Linked DNA regions of Saccharomyces cerevisiae S288C. Each later gene encodes a partner of the first gene's protein in a complex. Each region holds a gene or a part of one and is shown in the gene's direction. Other genes may lie near its edges.

Region 1 (8,220 bases):
TTGTACTTTTCCACATATTTTTTTAACATCAAATAGTAATTGATACATACATAATTAGTGAGCATTTTCCTTATTTTTACGTCTCTTCTTGGCGGATTGCCACCAGCCGCATCTTACAATGTATGCCACGATACCGCCAGGCAATAAATGAATATGGAGTGTCACTTCGGCTCCGTAAGCCGGCGCTGCATCCGCCACCACAGTTTTTTTTAGCGTCGCTGTCGCCGCTTTGCCACAGAAAAAGAAAAAAAAAAAAGAAACGGCGCCGTGTAGGGTTTTGTATAACAGATCGGCCTAGCAGCCAGGAGATGGCACGGCGCCAACTGAAAAGTTAGACTGTGGAATTGCCGTTCACCACACTCGAGTGGCATCTAATAAACTGCCACAGTTGACTCAAGCGGTGCTACCTTCGCAGTTATTGCACACCATGGTAACACATAACACAGTCTTGCATTACAAATGTGGTTCCTCCTACTTGGCGGTGAATTTCTTGAGTCAGCCCGTTATTTTCATATGGTGATGTAAGATTACATACAGTATATATATATAAGGATGATTCTCACACAAACTTTTCCGCTGTTCATCATATTTTGTTTTTGGATTAGTTTCACATTCTGTAGAAATCTTTAAAGACAAGAGAAGAGAAAACAAAGGCGGAGCAATGTCGGAAGGAAGAACGTTTCTGTCACAGTTGAATGTCTTCAACAAGGAGAACTATCAATTTTCTTCTTCTACTACAAAAAAGGAAGTAAGTAACTCGACAGTGGATGCTGACAACGGTGCCTCCGATTTTGAGGCAGGCCAGCAATTTGCTACAGAATTGGACCAAGGTGAAAAGCAGTTAGGTATTTTGTCGTGTATTGGGCTTATCTGTAATAGAATGCTTGGTACCGGTGTTTTCGCCGTTTCCTCGACCATTTACACACTATGTGGGTCTGTGGGGCTTGCATTAATTATGTGGGCAGTTGGCGCCATTATTGCCATTTCTGGGTTATATGTATACATGGAATTCGGTACGGCTATACCGAAAAATGGTGGTGAAAAAAACTACCTGGAGGCTATTTTCAGGAAACCAAAATTCTTCATTACCTGTATGTATGCTGCGTATATTTTCTTCCTAGGTTGGGCTGCTGGTAATTCCATCAATACAGCTATTATGTTTTTAACTGCTGCTGATACTGAAGTGACCAAATGGAATCAAAGAGGTATTGGTGTGGCCGTCGTTTTTTTTGCATTCCTAATTAATTCTCTGAATGTCAAGATTGGTCTATATTTGCAAAACATTTTAGGTATTTTCAAGATTGGTATTGTCCTCTTCATTTCTATTACCGGTTGGGTTGCCCTTGGCGGTGGTCTCAAAGATGGTTATCAATCTCACAACTTTCGTAATGCTTTTGAAGGTACTGAAACCGCCACTGCTTATGGTATTGTTAACGCCTTATATAGTGTTATTTGGTCGTTTGTCGGTTACTCCAATGTTAACTATGCACTTGGTGAAGTTAAGAACCCTGTGAGAACTTTGAAGATTGCTGGTCCTACATCGATGGTCTTCTTGGCTATAATCTACATTTTTGTGAACATTGCTTACTTCGCTGTGGTTCCAAAAGATAAGTTAATTTCTTCAAAATTGATTTTAGCTGCTGACTTCTTCGATATTGTGTTTGGCGGCCAAGCCAAGAGAGCAGCAGCCGCACTGGTCGGGTTGAGTGCCTTAGGAAATGTTCTTTCTGTCATTTTTTCTCAGGGTAGAATTATTCAACAACTAGGACGTGAAGGTGTGTTGCCCTTTTCTAATTTCTTTGCCTCTTCTAAGCCATTCAACTCCCCAATGGTTGGTTTGTTTCAACATTTTATTGTTTGTACAGTAACCATTTTAGCCCCACCTCCAGGTGATGCATATTTGCTAGTCCAAAATTTAATTTCCTACCCAATGAATATTATTAATTTTGCCATTAGCGCGGGTTTGCTTTGGATATACTGGCAACGTAGACAAGGTAAAATTGAATGGAACCCACCAATTAAGGCCGGTGTTTTTGTTACGGGATTTTTCACATTATCCAATTTATACCTGATTATTGCTCCTTACGTTCCACCTTCAAATGGCGAGTCGGTGTATTCAAGCATGCCATACTGGATCCACTGTGTAATTGCTTGGGGTATTTTCTTCTTTGGTGGTGTTTACTACGTTGTTTGGGCCCAATTATTGCCAAGATGGGGCCACTACAAATTGGTTTCCAAGGATGTGCTTGGTGAAGATGGGTTCTGGAGAGTCAAAATTGCCAAAGTTTATGATGACACTATTGGCGATGTCGATACACAAGAAGACGGCGTTATTGAAACGAATATAATCGAACATTACAAAAGTGAACAAGAAAAATCGCTGTAACCAAAAAGGTACTTACCATCTCATCTCGATTCTTATAATCACGTATGAACATTCTTATAATTGCATTTTCTTTATACAAAATATATAGGTACCAAACCTCATTATAATTTCTGCCATTTAATAGTTTAAGATGCTATTCCGTTTCGTATTTTTTCAATTTTTATACCTACTATTGCGCGAAATCAAAATAGCATACTAAGAAAAAGCAATATCATGAATTGCTGATGAGATAGATTCAAATTGGAATTAACTAAATCTATCAGCAACGCTATAAACACAGATAAGCGCTCTATAAAATCGTTTGTCTAACGTTTTATATAGTTCTTTATTGCTCCCTTACCCTCTTTCCGTCAATAGTGATTGTTGTCTCGGGAAAGCTTTTTTTTTTATTAATCAAAGGCCCAATTGAGTTACAACTGAAATTAAGCTGAGTTGGCGGAACAGTGTGGTATTAGCGAAGGGAAAATCTGTGAAGTGCCCTAGCTACAAAACAGAGATAAAAAAAATTATATTTCAAGCATGGTGGAGCAAGATAATGGGTTTTTACAGAAGCTACTCAAAACACAATACGATGCTGTCTTCCATTTAAAGGATGAAAATGGTATAGAAATATATCCAATATTCAATGTACTGCCACCTAAAAAAGAATATCCAGACTATTACATTATAATAAGGAATCCGATATCTTTAAACACTTTAAAGAAACGATTGCCCCATTATACATCGCCACAAGATTTTGTTAACGATTTTGCGCAAATTCCTTGGAATGCAATGACATACAATGCAAAAGATTCAGTAATTTACAAATATGCCATTCTTCTTGAGTCTTTTATTAAAGGAAAGATCGTGCACAATATAAGAAAACATTATCCCGAGGTGACATATCCATCTCTAGGTCGAATTCCGGAAATATTCGCAGAGAGTATGCAACCCTCCGATTTATCCTCGAACCCCATTAATACACAGGAAAATGATGAAAAGGCTGGCTTAAATCCAGAGATGAAAATGGCTTTCGCAAAACTAGATAGTTCGATCACTGAAAGGAAACCAACCAACCAAGATTACAGGATGCAACAAAAAAACTCACCAGCGTTTCCAACCCATTCTGCTTCTATAACACCGCAGCCGCTGGCTTCACCTACTCCAGTTGTTAACTATGCAAATATTACCTCGGCGCATCCCAAAACCCATGTTAGACGCGGTAGACCACCAGTAATTGATCTACCCTATGTACTGAGGATTAAGAATATCTTGAAGATGATGAGAAGAGAGGTCGACCAAAATAATAAGACGCTTACCCTCTGTTTTGAAAAACTACCAGATAGAAACGAGGAGCCAACCTATTACTCTGTCATAACAGATCCCATTTGTCTAATGGATATTAGGAAAAAGGTTAAGTCCAGAAAATATAGAAATTTCCATACTTTTGAGGAAGACTTTCAATTAATGCTAACAAATTTTAAGCTTTATTATTCTCAAGATCAGAGCAATATAATACGAGCTCAACTATTGGAGAAAAACTTCAATAGATTAGTGCGAATTGAATTATCCAAACCTGATGAAGACTATTTACCTGAAGGTGAATTAAGATATCCTCTAGATGATGTAGAAATCAATGATGAGAAATACCAGATAGGTGATTGGGTTCTTTTACATAATCCAAACGACATCAATAAACCCATTGTTGGCCAGATTTTTAGATTATGGTCTACTACAGATGGAAACAAATGGTTGAATGCTTGCTGGTATTTTAGGCCAGAACAAACCGTTCATCGGGTGGATAGGTTATTCTACAAGAATGAGGTCATGAAAACTGGTCAATATAGAGATCATCCTATTCAGGATATTAAGGGAAAGTGCTACGTTATTCATTTTACCAGATTCCAGCGTGGGGATCCTAGCACGAAAGTCAATGGTCCTCAATTTGTTTGCGAATTCCGTTATAATGAAAGTGATAAGGTTTTCAACAAAATCAGGACTTGGAAAGCTTGCCTGCCGGAAGAACTCCGTGACCAAGATGAGCCTACGATACCTGTTAATGGAAGAAAATTTTTTAAATACCCTTCTCCAATAGCAGATTTGTTACCAGCAAACGCAACTCTAAATGACAAAGTTCCAGAACCCACGGAGGGAGCCCCAACTGCCCCACCTTTGGTAGGCGCTGTATATTTAGGCCCCAAATTAGAGAGGGATGATCTGGGAGAGTATTCAACTTCTGATGACTGCCCTCGATACATAATCAGACCAAATGATCCACCAGAAGAAGGTAAAATAGATTACGAAACAGGAACAATAATTACAGATACCTTAACCACAAGCAGTATGCCCAGAGTGAACAGTTCCTCCACAATACGTTTACCCACTTTAAAGCAGACTAAATCAATTCCCAGCTCCAATTTCAGGTCCTCATCAAATACTCCACTATTGCATCAGAACTTCAATCAGACTTCCAATTTTTTGAAATTAGAAAACATGAATAATAGTTCTCATAATTTACTATCACATCCTTCCGTTCCTAAGTTTCAATCGCCCTCTTTATTAGAACAGAGTAGTCGCTCTAAATACCATAGTGCAAAAAAACAGACACAGCTATCATCAACAGCTCCCAAAAAGCCTGCATCTAAAAGTTTTACATTATCCTCAATGATTAATACCTTAACTGCTCATACCTCGAAGTACAACTTCAACCATATTGTTATTGAAGCCCCGGGTGCATTTGTGGTTCCTGTACCAATGGAAAAAAATATAAGAACCATCCAATCGACAGAACGTTTCAGTAGATCAAATCTAAAAAACGCTCAAAATCTCGGTAATACTGCTATTAATGACATAAATACTGCAAATGAGCAAATAATATGGTTCAAAGGGCCCGGTGTAAAAATCACAGAGAGAGTTATTGATTCCGGAAATGATTTAGTACGGGTACCTTTGAATAGATGGTTCTGTAAAAACAAAAGGAGAAAACTGGATTACGAAGACATTGAAGAAGATGTTATGGAACCACCAAATGACTTCAGCGAAGATATGATTGCTAATATTTTTAATCCTCCGCCGAGCTTGAATTTAGATATGGATTTAAATCTAAGCCCATCCTCGAATAACTCTTCTAATTTCATGGATTTAAGCACAATTGCAAGCGGTGATAACGATGGGAAAGAATGCGATACGGCGGAGGAGAGTGAAGACGAAAACGAAGATACAGAAGACGAGCACGAAATTGAAGATATCCCGACCACGTCTGCTTTTGGCTTAAATTCTTCCGCTGAATACCTTGCATTCAGATTACGAGAATTTAATAAATTATGACCATGATAAATTCACCACATGTATCTATATATGTTCATGCATATACCATATATATTTTGTTATTCATACGATAGACCTCAATCGTTTTGTTGCCTTTCAAAACGCACAATTGTAAACCTAGCTTACTATTTATCTATCGCGGTCCAGAATGGCTTTCCTTTTTAAATTCATCCCAGAAGCCACGTCGGAGTAAAGTATTCGGCCTTGATGACTATTTCGAATCGAAATGAAAGAATAAAAGGAACTAGGAGGTTGTTCCAACAATTTTCCATGCCGTAATTTCATCGGTTATTAGGTTACCAGCATTTATCTCAGTTTATTTGAGTCAAGGTAATTTATTTTCATTCATTACTGTATGGAGTAAAAATGAATTCCATTTATGTATTCGCACGAAGAGAAATTTATCATCCGTCAGAGACACCAAATTACGGCCGAATTTAGATTTGTTTGCACGTAAATATGAGCCAATGAAAGCGTTATTATTCAATGTTTCCAAATTGTTTTCCACCGTTTTATTTTTCCCCAAGAATTCGCTTTTATGAATGTTTTTAATATATGCAATCATTTTATCAAATCCACCGATGATAAAGTTCCAGTGTTCACTCAACATTTTCATAGAATCGTCATGGCTTCTGGAATCGACTGTTAAAATAAAACAATATCTTCTTTCATTGCCTCTAGCATTTTCATCATACAGTTTAAAGCCTATAACTAAGTTCAATCCTCTAAGATCATCAAAAAATATAAAAGGCATATTATCATAAATCATTGTTTCTTCAGAAAAGGCTCTTTTAATAATAGAATTTAGCAATTGGTATCTTATAGAAGAATATTGGGTAGTTATAAACGGAACATCTTCGATGAAGCACCGCATCGATCTAGTTGACTCTTCAGGAAACTGTAAAAGACATGATTCGCAATATGATTCAGTTGGATAATCAGGCACTAGTAATTCTTCACCTAGCGTTCCCTTTTCTGCGGATTGTGTAACTGATATGATCCTTGGGCCATGCTTGTCGCAGAAATGAGCCAATGAAATCACTGTCGAGGACATTCTATGCATCTATTTCATCAACCATTTAAACGCTAACTTATTTTATGGAGGTGCTAGTTAGTTGGACTTTATTGCTTCATTTATCGTTTGATGGTCATCGAATAGAAGATTCCTAAGCCCTTTTCTTTTTACTCAAGATTTTCTTTTTCAAGCGTGTTTTTTCTGGCAAGTACGAAAACGGCATCTTCGAACTTGGCGAATGAACAATCGGTTTGGTTCAACATTTCCAAGAACAACTACAACATACTATCAGTGTTACTTTCAAAAGTCTTTTAATACATTTGAAATGATATTCAGTGGAAGTGGAATGAAATAGGCCACAGTGAATAGGCCACGATACACACAGCATGTGTCATGCTCAATACCTTGCACCTGAATCTATATAATCTTGTAGTTCACCATTATATACATAACTCAGAAGAAGAAAACAATACGCATATTGGATAGTGCTCCATCGCTTTTAACAACTGATAATTTCAGTCATCTGGCTCAGGGTCTTGTCGATTTTTTTTATTTAGAAACTATCCGAATAAAAAAACCGCAGGAATACAAAGCGATGGGAATTGCTATTTCACTGAACATGTATGTATACCGTATACCGCATAAAATAACTATAAACCTACACCATTAAACGATGTGTGCAAAGAAGCTCAAATACGCTGCTGGCGATGACTTTGTACGCTATGCTACACCTAAAGAGGCCATGGAGGAAACTAGACGTGAATTCGAGAAAGAGAAACAACGACAGCAACAAATAAAGGTTACTCAAGCACAAACTCCCAACACTAGAGTCCACTCAGCTCCAATTCCCTTACAAACTCAATATAACAAAAACAGAGCAGAAAACGGTCACCACTCCTATGGTTCTCCCCAAAGTTATTCTCCAAGACATACGAAAACACCTGTGGATCCTAGATATAATGTTATCGCACAGAAACCAGCAGGCAGGCCTATACCTCCAGCGCCAACCCATTATAACAACTTGAACACTTCCGCTCAACGGATAGCTTCCTCTCCTCCTCCCCTAATTCACAATCAAGCAGTGCCTGCACAACTCTTGAAGAAAGTTGCACCTGCTTCGTTCGATAGCAGAGAAGATGTACGAGACATGCAAGTGGCCACACAGCTATTTCATAACCATGATGTAAAGGGCAAAAACCGACTGACAGCTGAGGAACTACAGAACTTACTACAAAACGACGACAACTCCCATTTTTGTATATCATCAGTAGATGCGCTGATAAATTTATTTGGTGCTTCCAGGTTTGGCACTGTCAACCAGGCAGAATTCATCGCCCTATACAAAAGAGTGAAAAGTTGGAGAAAAGTTTATGTGGACAATGATATCAACGGATCGCTCACCATTTCTGTAAGCGAATTTCATAACTCACTTCAAGAACTAGGATATCTAATACCTTTTGAAGTTAGCGAGAAAACATTTGACCAATATGCTGAGTTTATAAACAGAAATGGA
Region 2 (7,929 bases), on another chromosome or scaffold:
TATTAGCGCGATTTAAAAAAAGAAAATAGAAACAAATAGCAATAAACAAAAAGAAAAGTAACGCTATTACATCCACATGTCACAACTACTTTGTGAAGTTGCAATGCGTGATTAGTATTATAAAACATCATAGCCTTGCCAAATAAACTCGCTTCCCAGAAAAGACGCCAAATTAACTGCCGCTGTTATGTGACAAAACAGGGCATCTCACATATTCGCGTACTGGTGTTCTTTTAGCTCATTCCGATATTATTCCAAGACGGAATTTTCATCTAGAGAAAATGCATCCGTGCATTTTCATAAACCCACACAATTAAAATGCCTTGCGAAAAGGAGGACTCGTCCGTGCAACTGTTGAAAAAAATAGACGGAGCATCATACGTTCGAGTGGAAAATTATGGAGAGTTTTCCAAGCTCTATGGCATGTAGAGTCGTGATTGCTGCTGTACGCTTTTGCACAATATTGAATCTTCAATCTAAAGAATTAAATTTTCTAATTTCAATGTAGAAATATTTCAACTGTTAGTTTTTTATTTCAGGTTGAATATAGTACGACAAAATATCAAGGAAAAATGGCTAGAGAAATCACCGACATCAAACAATTTTTGGAATTGACCAGAAGAGCTGACGTTAAGACCGCCACTGTTAAGATTAACAAAAAATTGAACAAGGCCGGTAAGCCATTCAGACAAACCAAGTTCAAGGTTAGAGGCTCTTCTTCTTTGTACACTTTGGTTATCAACGATGCTGGTAAGGCTAAGAAATTGATCCAATCTTTGCCACCAACTTTGAAGGTTAACAGATTATAAGAAAAATAAGGAATGATCGGAGTGTTATCATAACGAGACTGGAACAAAAAAAACTAAGAATACTTTCCCATCCGCATAAAGAATAATATCCATTTGTGTTCGTTATACAGGAAGTAGAAATAGGCTTTATAACTTTTTTTGTTTTTGTTTCCTTTTGTTTTTCTTACTACTCATAAACATATTTTTTAATTTTTAAAGTCATAACGTTGTATAGTTAATAAAAAAAATTGGATTACTATTCATTGAAGAAGAGAGTTCTATACGTTCTTTTTTAAGTTTATTTAAAGGGAGTTACCATTTGTGTAATAAAGTAAATTAGAGATTATATTATGTAAAGGTAAAAACGGGAGCGAGCATCATACGGCCTTCTTGCTATCGCGACCAATGGTTGGATTTGATTGCTCTTTCTCTTCAGTATCATCTAATACTTTTGCCAGTCGATCTCTTGCCCTAGATTTTAAAACTTCTTCATCGGTCGAGGAAATTCTTTCAAACTCGCCTTCGTTGATGTTTGATGCTTCGGCAAATTCTTTTGTCTCTTCTGTTGTAGGCTCTCCTACTTTTTTCGCATTATCTTTCTCTTGCTTGTTGCTCCCAAGCTCTTGCTCAGCGGTTAAACCATTCGTGCTGTTTTCTTCAACCTTTTGTTCAATGGCAGAATTTCTATTCGAATTTATCACGCTTTCATCAAAGTCAGAAGTTTTGACCAATTCTGCGGTTCTTACCCATCTTCTTCTTCTTGTATATTTAGAAAAGGAATCTTCTTTACTTGGTTTTTTCCAGGTATTGTCGTAATATATAAATCCCTCGTCAGGGGAGGGATCTGCGGAAGTTCTTGCCTTTGAATTGGGCACTTGAATGGCACCGTCATTAGTCATGTCTAGCCTCCATGTCTTGTCGACCCATCTCCAAACCATAGTGTTAGTCTCTTCAGGTAGATGGAAGTTTTCAGGAGAGGGAGCCTCATTCAAAAATTCATCGGTCCATGGAGTCCTCTCATAACTCAACATACTAGGCTTCCATCCAATACCTAACCAACGACGCTGGTTCTCGTACAAAACATAAGTAAAACGGATAGGCTTGGAATCGGATAATACGCCATTACTGTTTTCTGTTGATGCCAACTTTTTCACTTGCTTCTGCACTGTAGCAAAAATACCCTGGTCCTTATTTATTCCACCAAGGTCTAAACCCGTGACGTAGAAAACAAGCAGCCTGACAATCTTAAACTTCCATAAAAGCCTTCTTGCTACTTTAGACCATGGTGAGTGATACGTTAAAAGGAACATGCCCACCATCAGCATCAAGCTTCTCGGTGGTAAAAGTAGCCAGGTTATCATCACGTATATTGGAGATAATATGACCGTAGTATATAGAAGCCGTTGAATATCTTGCGTTCCAAGGTTAACCATGGGGGAGAGCAAAATATCTGACTTCAAGGATACTCTGTTCATTAAGAGAGCAATATCTTCTAATGTTGGTGAGGAGCTCAACGTACCCTCAATATAATTGTCCAATAGGGAATAACCCCACAAAATAGCAATGATGGCAAGATGTCCAAAGTACTTCACCAGCGTTTCAAAATACTCAACGGTAGTAATAAAGAGACACAGCATCAAAACACTGCTCCAAATATTCTTTCCTGTCCATGTAACAACGTTTAGGAATTCGTCAATGAGAATTAAATAAGGGTACAATTTCACCAACGCCTTTGAGATTGTGGGCGGTGTTGATGTCAAAAGCGGCGAAGTAGCTACGTTAACTTTCTCCAATGACCCGTTATCATTATCCTCAGACACCCCGCTTTCAGCTTCGTTCTTTTCCAAAGCAGCTCGTATCACTTTTGTAGTATTGCCACCAATCCTCGGTTGCAGCGTCTCTGCAAACTTGGCTCTAGTCTCATGCACGTTAGTTGTGTTACCACTCATTGAAAATCAGTTTTTACACTCCGGAGGATCAACTAGACAGCTCGAATCCTAAATTGCAACCTTGCATGCCCACTTTACCTCAGTAGCGAACGTATCCAAGTATATATTTTGTGAAGCTGATCCAAAAACCCTTTAGTCCTCTTCCCGCTTCTTTCCGTGCAACCGGAGAATAATAAGAAAAAGCCATGCGCATCTCTATCTGAAGTGGACTCAAGCTAAAGCCATCGAAAGCTCCATCACTTAATCAAAGCTCCAGGTATTCATGTTCAGAAAGAGATTAGTGAACAAAAGCTCTTCTGATGAAAAGAACCAGAAAAAGAGGCAGAAAATTAATTTTAGCGAAGAGAAACTAGTGGCCAGCGATGAAGAAAAGGGTTCCAGTGACCTCATGAGCTTAGCCAAGAGTGGAAATAGCAGGACACTTCAACTTTCACATGAGAATGAAGGTAAACTACAGAAAAAGGGTGAGGATTTAGATAAATACACTTTAACGGTCAACGACGACAGCACTAAAGAAGATCTTCTAAACTTTGAGAGAAAAGAGCTGGCTGAGAAGGCAAAGAAGAGGCGACCTAGTGATGACAATGAGCTGGTACTGAACATGAGCGGTAAAAATAAACGCCTCACTAAACAGATTAACCAACCAACGAATATCCGGACCACGGTGCTGATGGATTTTCAGCCCGACGTTTGCAAAGATTACAAACAGACGGGATACTGTGGTTACGGAGATAGCTGCAAGTTCTTACACTCGAGGGATGATTTCAAGACTGGCTGGAAGCTGAACCAAGAATGGAATGCGGATAAAGAGGACTCCAAAGCGGTTACTCTAGACTTGGAAAAGATACCGTTCAAGTGCACTCTTTGTAAGGAAGATTACAAGTCTCCAGTGGTCACAAACTGTGGCCATTATTTTTGTGGATCGTGTTTTGCCAAAGATATGAAAAAGGGCACCAAATGCTTTATATGCCACAAGGAGACCCACGGCAGTGCAAAAGTAGCATCTGACTTACAGAAGATGCTAAATAAAAGGAAAAGTTGATGGAGAATGCCATATCACCCCAAAAATTACACGCACCCGATGCTAATGTACAGGAATTATAGAGCACATGACCCATAGATTTATCGAGCATTGTTGCAATTTCGAAAGACTCTTTCACATAATAAAGTATGTAAACTATATAGATAGAAGATGTCCCGTGTCTTTTTGTCTACTAAATGATGATCTGCTCATTTAAAGTCGCCGCGACTACTTTGACAAAAAAAAAAAACTTAGAAAATACGACAAATAGAGATTATTGAATGAAGTACATTGAAAAAAGAAAGAAGAAAGGCACATAGCAGCACACAATGTCGCACCAAAACCAGCTTATTCCACAAGCTTATATTTCTAACTTTCATAACAGATTGACAAACGAAGATGATGGTATCCCCATCTTTACAATGGCTCAACAAACAAGGCAGCATAAAAGGGCTAAAGTGGTCAACTATGCGGAATATGACAACGATCTCTTTGATGAATTCAATATGAACGGTTCTAATTTCAACAATGCTGATACACACTATAAAGATAATGCAGTGTCTCATGAAAATACTCCGGCACTTACAAATGGTGTTACCATGGACGGTTCCGAATACAATGTCCTAGAGAACATGAATGGAGCTGATAGTATTATCTCTAACAACAAATACGATGCGGGTTCAAACATGGTTGTGGAATCTTTATCCGGTTTGAATAGCAATAACAACGCCAGCAATGGTCCGAGCAACAAAGCGCAGGCACAGGATATTGGAAACGCCGTTCTACCGGATCTGCAAGACCAACACCACAACCCCTTCAACATATTGAGATACCCTAAAATAAGAGATACTTTCATTAACGGAAAAGTGGTGTCTCCATATAGACTCAACACTGATCAAGAAACGAAGGCAAACGCCAATTCTGGAGAGGCAATCATGATACCAATTACTTTGGATATAGAACATATGGGTCATACCATAAAAGACCAGTTTCTCTGGAACTACAATGACGACTCCATATCTCCGGAGGAATTTGCCTCTATATACTGTAAAGATCTTGATATGACTTCCGCTACCTTACAAACTCAAATTGCGAATATAATAAAAGAGCAGTTGAAAGACCTCGAAAATATTGCAGCCACTGAGATAATGTCTGACCTCCACGTGATAATCAACCTAACCTGCAACTTACAAGACAGATTTTTTGAAGATAACTTCCAGTGGAACTTGAACGACAAATCACTTACTCCAGAAAGATTTGCTACATCCATTGTACAGGACCTTGGCTTAACAAGAGAGTTCATCCCCTTAATATCTCAATCGCTTCATGAAACTATCTTGAAGATAAAGAAGGACTGGGTAGATGGCCACTTGATTCAGGACCATGTCCCAAACGATGCCGCATTTGGGTACTTATCTGGTATAAGGCTGGATATTGATGAACTGGGCTCCAATTGGTGCCCAAGGGTGGAAATATTAACAAAAGAAGAAATACAAAAGAGAGAAATTGAAAAAGAAAGAAACTTAAGAAGATTGAAAAGAGAAACTGATAGATTATCTAGAAGGGGCAGGAGAAGATTAGATGACTTAGAAACCACAATGAGAATGTAGTAACTTTGCTTTTCTTGTTACAGAATTGTATTATTATAAGTATTATTAATCAAACGGGAAGGACAAAAAATTTAACAAACGCAGAAGCAACTAAATCAAGACTAAAGAGAACGTAAAAAAAGTCATGCACTTCTTTGAGATACACGTTACCAAAAGAATACAAAATGTTTATCACCAACACTGATAGATCTTGTTTCTATTTGGACTAATTCGCAATTTGACATATATGACATATATTACGGAGAATTTTTAAATATGCTTATATTACATGTGTATAATTTACGTATTCTTGAAGGTTTTGAAAGGTTCAGACGCCTCAATTTTTCCTATATTACTTTCTATTATCTTTATTACAATCGCAGATAGCGAACTTTGCAAAGTAGTATGAGGAATCTGATTAGGTATGTTCATATTACTATCAAGCATCCTTAGCTGCAAAAGTTTGTCATGCTCCCAAAACCCATCTGCGATTCTCAACACAGATACCAAAAACGCATCTTTTGCGGCGATCAAATCACTATTACTATTAAAGGTGTCGTCTGTTGCGCACTCAATACATAACGCCCTGTATACTTTGCAAAGTTCAGCAAATTCATCAGGAGATACCTGCTCGAATTTCATTTTTAAAACCTTGTTGAAAAGGTCTATGAAGTGAGATAGAAGAAAATTCTTGATATTCACGTCGAAAAAAGGTCTGTTCTCAAATATGTGTGCTATCACCAGGTCAGAAAAAAATGCAAAAGGGCTCTCTAACATGGTGGAGGTGAATAAAGTGCTTAAATTGTCAAGATATCCATCAATTTCATTCCCAGTGCAACAGGCTTGAACAATACCGGTTTCAACAAATGCAGCTTTGGAAAGTATATCACCTGCTTCATTGAATGAGTCCCAGAACGCACATTTTTCGTCTTCATCACTTGAAATACCAAGTTCCCTTCTTAGACTGATGAAGAGTTGATTATTTCTTAGCTCAGTCAAGCAATTTTTGTTAAGAAATTCGAGATATTTTGCCAAGAAATTTCTACTGATGTCCCCTTCATCGTAATGTTTTTTCGCCAGGGATAAGAAAACAGCTAATAGATCTTGATATGCATTTTTTTTCAATGCTTTAGAAAAAATATAAGCCAATCGCAGGAGTTCATTCTCATCGGAAACAGGTTTCAAATCTGCTACTATGATATGTGCCCTCTTCAACAGATTGGAAAGAAAGTGATAGAAAGCGTCATCTTTGGAAATGAGCAGCAAATCAGAAGCAATGGAATAAAGCGGTTTTTTCAGTAATTCAAAAGAGTCTGTATCACAGAAATCGATAATAAGGGAGTGAAATGCAAGCTGAAAGTGTAATGCAGCATCTAAGCCGTTATAGGTAAAGAAAGTCCACCAGGTAAATATACCAGAATCTACGAGGAATTTTCCGATCTGACAATAGCATTCTATCCATCTTTCATTTTCTTGAGCCTTGCTCTTTATAAACTGAAAAAGATAATTTTGCACCCAAGTTGGACCCAGCACATCTAAGCTCTTCAAATATACCTGTAATAATAAAAAAAAAGACGACTCGAATATATTTTCTTGAGACATGGCCACCAGTGAAGGATACAGAAATTTGAGCATACTCACGCTTTTTCTTTTCATTTTGGAGACTAAATTTGTGAATTCTTTCAAAAAATTTTCTGTTACTCCCGATATGGAAGGTTGTTGAAGTACTAGTTTATCAAATAATGACGCAATAAATTTTCCACTGAATGGATGATTTTTGATTCGACTGATTTCCAGGAATGAAAGGCTGGCCTGCATGATCAATGTTGTTATCGTCCTGACTGTGTTCTGTGTATGCAAGTTTAAATATTCCTTACTATATAACGGTCGTGTTAGCTCTTGGAAGCGCTTCTCTAAGTTTAAATCAAAACGTGTAGCTAGAACAATTAGTAGGTTGAGGCGGTTCTTCAAAACAGATAGAGAATCATTCATAGAAATATCACCCATCGGTATCACACGTTGTGTATCAGAACTAGACAATTCACACAACGTCAGTAGATGCAAATATCTGTTAAACATTAATCGACTCGTAAGCTGATTCGTTGGAGGATAAATTATCTTATTGTTTTGTGACAAATCAGACTCTTCTTCAAAGTCCGAAAATCTTCTCCGTTTGAATATGCGATCGAGAGAAAGAATCAAAGAATTTGTAACATTCCAATTACAAGTCTCAATGCAATAATTGATGAACCGAAATGCCGAACTCAAGGGTTGGAATTCAGAATCTAATCTCAAAACCTGCCAGCGGCAGACTTTCGTAGGAAATATGTTGACCAGCAACAGTGAAATATGAGGCGAAAAGGGGTGCTTTTGAAATAAATCCCACAAAGCTTCCTTTTTATGTATGACATCAACGACAGCAGAGAGAATATAATAACTTGTGTACAGATATTGCATTGGATTTTTCATAACAGAATCATAACAGACAGAAAGTAATTTGAAGAAAGACACAATATGATCTAAGAGTTTGACATCCATGTCGAATTTTGCAGCGGCTGAAATTTTGTTATATCTTGATATTT
Region 3 (6,713 bases), on another chromosome or scaffold:
AGATTCTCAAACTAAGGAAAATCCAGCCTCTATGGGTGAATAGCTCATCCAATCGATCCAAGAAAAATTGTTGAGGCTATAATTACATATAATATCTACTGAACAGCTGCATTCCAGGACCTTTTTGAACAGCGCGCCCAAAATTAATGAAGAAATCGTTGATCTTATGTGAAGACCGAACAGAAAGGACAGACTAAAGTTTCGCCCAATTAGCTTACGAACATATAATGACGAGGACGCCACATTCCTCAGTATGAGTAGGGGGTCAATTAAATTCTTGAGTTATAAGTGTCCCATTTACTATGGTTATGCTCTGCTTCCCTATTTTCTTTGCGTTTTCATAAGAAGGGATATGAAGTATTGTCATTCCACAGAGTATGATATAAATCAGTCAGGTCACCACTGCTGACAAACTCCTCTAAAGTACCCAAGTTGTATATATTATTCTCATTAGCGCTTATTTGGCTAGGCGCAGAATGTTGTCTTTTTGTCTGTTGTAACGATCGATCTTGATGCCGCAGATTACATGGAACATTTTCTGATGCGTCTTGAGTGTACGATTCCTCTCCAGAGTTCAACAAAGACGATAACTTCAACGGTGAGTTTGCTGCTGAGGCAGAAGCATTGTTGTATGAAGGAGCAGTACTGTCATACAACTGAGAAATTTGGCTTGAATTTCCTTGGTCTGGAATATTACCAGTGGCCAATTTGTCTCTATACAAAAATTTATAGTCGCTTTCTAACATTTTTCTAATTATTAAATGAAAGCCTGATTTTTCAACGGATTTCAACATGTACCTGTAAATAAAAGAGCGGGTATCAAAAAACTCACGCAAAAGGTCACTTAGACCCGGTTCAACTTCTTTCAAACGTTCGATGAATTCGGCTCTATCAATTTGTTCGGCATAGCAGTATTTTAAAAATATGATTCTTATGGATATGGCAACCAAACTCGAACTTCTCGAAAACTCCCTGAAAGTTTGACAATCATAATCCTTCTCGTCCAAATTATTATTAAAAAAAGAAATAATGTTAGTTATTCTCTTAAAAACTTTCAAAGTGTTGATAACATCCTCTAAAGTGATGTGCGGGTCTTCCACATAAAATTTTGAAGCCATCACGAAAAATATCAGTTCATAAAAGTCCAAACATGCCCAAACAATAAAATCAGTATCAACCTGTATTAAGAATTGATTAATTTCCCTCCATTCTTGAAACATTTCATTCGCATATTTCATGCTTTGCTCAGTTATCACCTCTGGATCTTCAGATAGCCTAGCAATAAGATTGTTAACAGCACCCAAGATGGAGAACCATGTATTTTTATGGTAACTTACAAATTTAGCTGCTTCAATTAGATCGTTTTTTGGATATTCTGGATATTTGCAGTGAGCTACTTGAAAAACTCTTGAGGTGTGAAGCTTTATTTTGGCCAATTTTAACCTAAAAGATTCAATGTCCTCAAAAACTTTCTCCAATAACTTTTGTCTGATAATTGTGGGTTTAACGGATACTTCTAAAGACGTGAATTTCTCATTATAAAGAGTCTCTGAAAAAAAATCTCCAACAATTTGGGCTATCGCTAACTCACCATATTCAATAAGCCTGGACAATGACAAGTTTTTTAGCTTGGGCGATGACGGTGATAAAGAGGACGTACCAATTTTCGTTAAAAATTCTTTATGGTTAATGAATCCCATGTCCCTGAAATCCTTCGGCAAGAGACAATTCATTTGATGTTCATTTATTAAGGATAAATCACCAAGATCAGTTAAAAAACGCTTTTCCAGACTGTATATTTTCCACCATATTTTTCTTCTCCGTTCGGCAGTATTTTCGTCTATTCCAACATAATACTCCCAACGAGACAATCCCATCTTAGTGGAGCATGTAACCGCAACTTCTAGCATTTTTTCAAATCCAAAACGCTCATCAATTTCATTTTGGATTTCTAGCAATGACACTAAAATCTCTAGGTAATCTAAAGTGTTTATGTCCAACATGTGATATAGGGTAACATTGTAGTATGCGTAACAAAGAGTAGATAGAAGATATTCTGATGAGCAGAATGACGAGAATAAAACACTCTTTTCTTGATGGGGCAAGGAGAAAGCTTGGTTTAAAAATTCCGCAAAGCGCTTCCTATGTTGAGCATACATTTGAGTAACTATTCGAAACATCGAAAATGAATCATGTAAATTTTCTATCAATTGAGTAGTCGTAAACCCGGTAATCGATTGTATAAATGGCTGAGGTAGTTGATGAATAACAGAAATGACTAAATCGTTAGATAAAGGTGCTGGGGAAGTAGGCAAACTAGCAGATGCCGTCGTAGTAGGAGTTTGCTTTATTTTTTGAAGATAGTTCTCTAATGGATTAGAAATAGAGATGCAACCTTGGATCAAATGTTCATAACACAAATCAAACAATCTTAATATTAGATAAATAGTTTCCTTTGTATCTATTAACATCGATGAACCCGTGTTTTCGATATTTTTTTTAATTAAATATCCTATACCTCTTAGTGAAAAAGCCTGTATTGGAGAGAAAAGACCAAATACTTCATCTACTAGTGGAGTGGTGGCTAGAAATGAATCTGGACTTTGTGATTTAACCATTTGGTCTGTCCAAAAGGAGAACCTCGTCATGTGTATTTTATTTCTATACTTGTTGGTTAAAAGATACGTTTCTATCGATCTTTGTGGGCGAGGAGAGAAACTGGAAAGCTTGGGGTAGTTTATTTCGGGATTCCAACTGTTAATCAGGTTATTCAACTGCGACTTCGTTTTATCAATCAAGAGCTGAGTGTCATCACAAGGCGGCAGAGCGTACAAATTTGTCAGAATATTTTGATACGTAACCAGTTGATTTTGATATTTGGAATCATCTTTAAAGAGAATATTATTATCATTAGTAGGATTATTGGAAGTATCAGGAGCATGCGTCGCACTCGGAGAGACTGGAGTCTGTATCAGGTCGTTCATCAGTTTGAAGTAATATTGATTATCTAGCTTAATCGCAGTGTCCAGATGCTGTACATCTGCTGAAGCCTCTACATTGGCGTGGGAAGAGGGTGGAGCAACAGCTGTAGTAGGCAAAGACTGGGAACTATCCTCCTTCTGCGGTAAATGTTTTTTTAGGAATACACACGTACAATCGTAAGAAATGCAGTTGGTACATGGATATTTACCTGTGCATTTGATTTTCCTTTTTCTGCAATTGACACATGCTGTCGAAACTTTTGATCTAGTTGATTTCTTCACTTTCATTGCGGTCACGCAATAAGAAAAAATTAATAAAACTGCTGATGCAGTTGTCGCCTAAGACCTATGGTTGCTTTGGAAGGCTCCTGAAGACACAAACACAGGAAATACATAAATACATTAATGAGATTCTATAACAGTATCTACATATTTGCATTCTAAGACTCACTGTGATAGTTCATTTATTATTCCGCGGAAAGTCCGAGCGGCAGAGGAGGCAGCTCCGCGGAAACAAGGGCAGCGCCTGTTGTTCTGGAAGAAAATGAAAAGTGAAATGCAGTTGTCGTGGAAATAATGGCTTTACCTGAAAGCAGCAGAGCACGGTGTTAACAAGGAATAGCTGAGAATGAGTGGAAGTAATATGGGATACTATGACGTACTCGCAGGGCTTTCAGCGCTGGAAAAGTCATCCCAGGTAGTGTTCAGTGCGACTGAGCTTCAACAGCTTACGCAACAATCTCATGCTACCGACAAGGGCATAGAGGGCAGTGAGAATAGTAAAGCGAAGGTATCCAAGCCCAAAAGAGTAGCTGTACATGGTTACCTAGGCGGTAAAGTGTCGCTCGCCGATGCGGCACAGGTGGAGTATGAAGTAGGCCATTCACTGCTGGGCAGTTATGTGCCACGCCAGCAGTTGGAAGCCCTGTCAAGTGTCGACTTTTCGCACCATTTCCACCGCACATTAGAATGCAAAGCTGCTCTAGAGACACACGATGTTTTTCTTGCCGGCGCAGGACAATTGTCTCTACCCTTCCAATCACACATAGAGAGCCCCAGGAATAGCGAGGCTAAAAGGAAAAGAAAAGTGATAATATGCAAACGGTGTCAATCACGATTTATAGGTTCCCATAGGCGGTCTCAACTTAGAGAACATGCCTGCGTAGATTAAACCATGTAATTGATAGAGGTAGAATGTTGCTTCGTAGAAAGTGACTATACGATTCCTAAAAGGGGCTTCCTTCCACTCATGCGAAATCGAGATACATCAGACGAAAACAGAACGAATATTTAGCGCATATATACTATGTATATCTATTGCAATCCTAAAAGAAGGGATAGTGTAACATAGCCAAGGCGACAGAGTGTGTTATATACAAAAGAGCTAGAGTATGACTGTGTTTCTGGGCATCTATAGGGCCGTCTATGCCTATGAGCCGCAGACACCAGAAGAACTGGCCATCCAAGAAGACGATCTGTTGTACCTCTTACAGAAGTCAGACATTGACGATTGGTGGACAGTAAAGAAAAGAGTCATTGGTTCCGATAGCGAAGAACCGGTGGGTCTAGTGCCCTCCACTTACATTGAAGAAGCTCCTGTTTTGAAGAAGGTAAGAGCCATTTATGATTATGAACAGGTGCAAAATGCTGATGAAGAATTGACGTTTCATGAAAATGACGTTTTTGATGTATTCGATGATAAAGATGCTGATTGGCTGTTGGTTAAGTCTACCGTTTCCAATGAATTCGGCTTCATTCCAGGCAATTACGTCGAACCAGAGAATGGGTCCACTTCCAAGCAGGAACAGGCTCCCGCTGCCGCTGAAGCTCCTGCAGCTACTCCTGCAGCCGCTCCTGCTTCTGCTGCCGTACTACCCACCAACTTTTTACCACCTCCTCAACACAATGATAGAGCTCGTATGATGCAAAGTAAAGAAGACCAAGCTCCAGATGAGGATGAAGAGGGCCCTCCTCCTGCCATGCCTGCAAGACCAACGGCTACTACCGAAACTACTGATGCCACCGCTGCGGCTGTTCGATCTCGTACAAGACTATCATACAGCGATAACGATAATGACGATGAAGAGGATGATTACTATTACAACAGCAACAGCAACAACGTTGGAAATCACGAATACAATACAGAGTATCACTCTTGGAACGTTACCGAAATCGAGGGAAGGAAAAAGAAGAAGGCCAAGCTATCAATCGGTAACAACAAGATAAACTTCATACCCCAAAAGGGGACTCCTCATGAGTGGTCAATTGATAAATTGGTCTCTTATGATAACGAAAAGAAACACATGTTCTTGGAATTTGTTGATCCATATAGAAGCCTTGAATTACACACTGGTAATACCACCACATGTGAAGAGATCATGAACATTATTGGTGAATATAAAGGTGCTTCCCGTGATCCTGGGTTGAGAGAAGTCGAAATGGCTTCCAAATCCAAAAAGAGAGGTATTGTTCAATATGACTTCATGGCTGAATCACAGGACGAATTAACCATAAAATCAGGCGATAAAGTCTACATTTTAGATGATAAAAAATCTAAGGACTGGTGGATGTGCCAACTGGTTGATTCAGGGAAAAGCGGTCTCGTTCCTGCACAGTTTATTGAGCCTGTTCGTGACAAAAAACATACTGAATCTACAGCAAGCGGTATCATCAAGTCTATCAAGAAAAACTTCACCAAATCTCCATCTAGGTCGAGATCTAGATCAAGATCTAAATCCAATGCCAATGCCAGTTGGAAAGATGATGAACTACAAAACGATGTTGTAGGTAGTGCTGCCGGTAAAAGGTCAAGAAAAAGTTCATTGTCCTCTCACAAAAAAAACTCTTCGGCGACCAAAGATTTCCCCAATCCAAAAAAATCGCGTCTATGGGTTGATAGAAGTGGTACTTTCAAAGTGGATGCAGAATTCATTGGATGTGCTAAGGGGAAAATCCACTTGCACAAGGCTAATGGTGTCAAGATTGCTGTCGCCGCTGATAAACTATCCAATGAAGATTTAGCGTATGTGGAAAAAATTACTGGGTTCTCCTTAGAGAAATTTAAGGCGAATGATGGGTCTAGTTCCCGTGGCACTGATTCAAGAGACTCTGAAAGAGAAAGAAGAAGGAGATTGAAGGAGCAGGAGGAAAAAGAACGCGATAGGAGATTGAAAGAGCGTGAATTATACGAATTGAAAAAAGCCAGAGAACTCCTAGATGAAGAAAGATCAAGGTTGCAAGAAAAGGAATTGCCTCCAATAAAACCACCAAGACCAACCTCTACTACCTCCGTTCCAAATACGACGTCCGTACCACCAGCCGAAAGCAGCAATAACAACAACTCCAGTAACAAATATGATTGGTTCGAATTTTTCTTGAATTGCGGCGTTGATGTAAGCAATTGTCAAAGATATACAATAAATTTTGATAGAGAACAGCTTACTGAAGACATGATGCCTGACATCAATAACTCAATGTTAAGAACCTTGGGTCTGCGCGAAGGTGATATTGTTAGAGTAATGAAACATCTTGACAAGAAATTTGGAAGAGAAAATATTGCATCAATTCCTACAAATGCCACTGGAAATATGTTTTCACAACCTGATGGTTCATTGAACGTTGCTACAAGTCCGGAAACCTCACTGCCTCAGCAATTGTTGCCACAAACAACAAGTCCTGCTCAAACAGCTCCTTCCACATCAGCTGAGACAGATGATGCTTGGACTGTTAAAC

Evidence for each region. The genes of interacting proteins can lie anywhere in the genome.
Region 2: RSC1 (region 1) and SFH1 share a complex: the UniProt entries of both Saccharomyces cerevisiae proteins name them as parts of the two forms of the RSC complex.
Region 3: RSC1 (region 1) and LDB7 share a complex: the UniProt entries of both Saccharomyces cerevisiae proteins name them as parts of the two forms of the RSC complex.

The regions. Positions count from the first base shown.
Region 1 is NC_001139.9:598,756-606,975, forward strand, and holds RSC1 (RSC subunit protein RSC1), read left to right. Parts: upstream 1-2,905; coding exon 2,906-5,692; downstream 5,693-8,220. Other genes in the region: MUP1 (Mup1p), read left to right, coding at 662-2,386; LST7 (Lst7p), read right to left, coding at 6,018-6,746; PEF1 (Pef1p), read left to right, coding at 7,381-8,220. UniProt on the Saccharomyces cerevisiae protein: Component of the chromatin structure remodeling complex (RSC), which is involved in transcription regulation and nucleosome positioning. RSC is responsible for the transfer of a histone octamer from a nucleosome core particle to naked DNA.
Region 2 is NC_001144.5:774,023-781,951, reverse strand, and holds SFH1 (Sfh1p), read left to right. Parts: upstream 1-4,087; coding exon 4,088-5,368; downstream 5,369-7,929. Other genes in the region: 60S ribosomal protein eL38 RPL38, read left to right, coding at 573-809; PEX30 (peroxisome biogenesis protein), read right to left, coding at 1,166-2,737; U2-type spliceosomal complex subunit CWC24, read left to right, coding at 3,000-3,779; MMS22 (Mms22p), read right to left, coding at 5,648-7,929. UniProt on the Saccharomyces cerevisiae protein: Component of the chromatin structure-remodeling complex (RSC), which is involved in transcription regulation and nucleosome positioning. RSC is responsible for the transfer of a histone octamer from a nucleosome core particle to naked DNA.
Region 3 is NC_001134.8:214,026-220,738, reverse strand, and holds LDB7 (Ldb7p), read left to right. Parts: upstream 1-3,609; coding exon 3,610-4,152; downstream 4,153-6,713. Other genes in the region: drug-responsive transcription factor PDR3, read right to left, coding at 339-3,269; cytoskeletal protein-binding protein SLA1, read left to right, coding at 4,373-6,713. UniProt on the Saccharomyces cerevisiae protein: Component of the chromatin structure-remodeling complex (RSC), which is involved in transcription regulation and nucleosome positioning. RSC is responsible for the transfer of a histone octamer from a nucleosome core particle to naked DNA.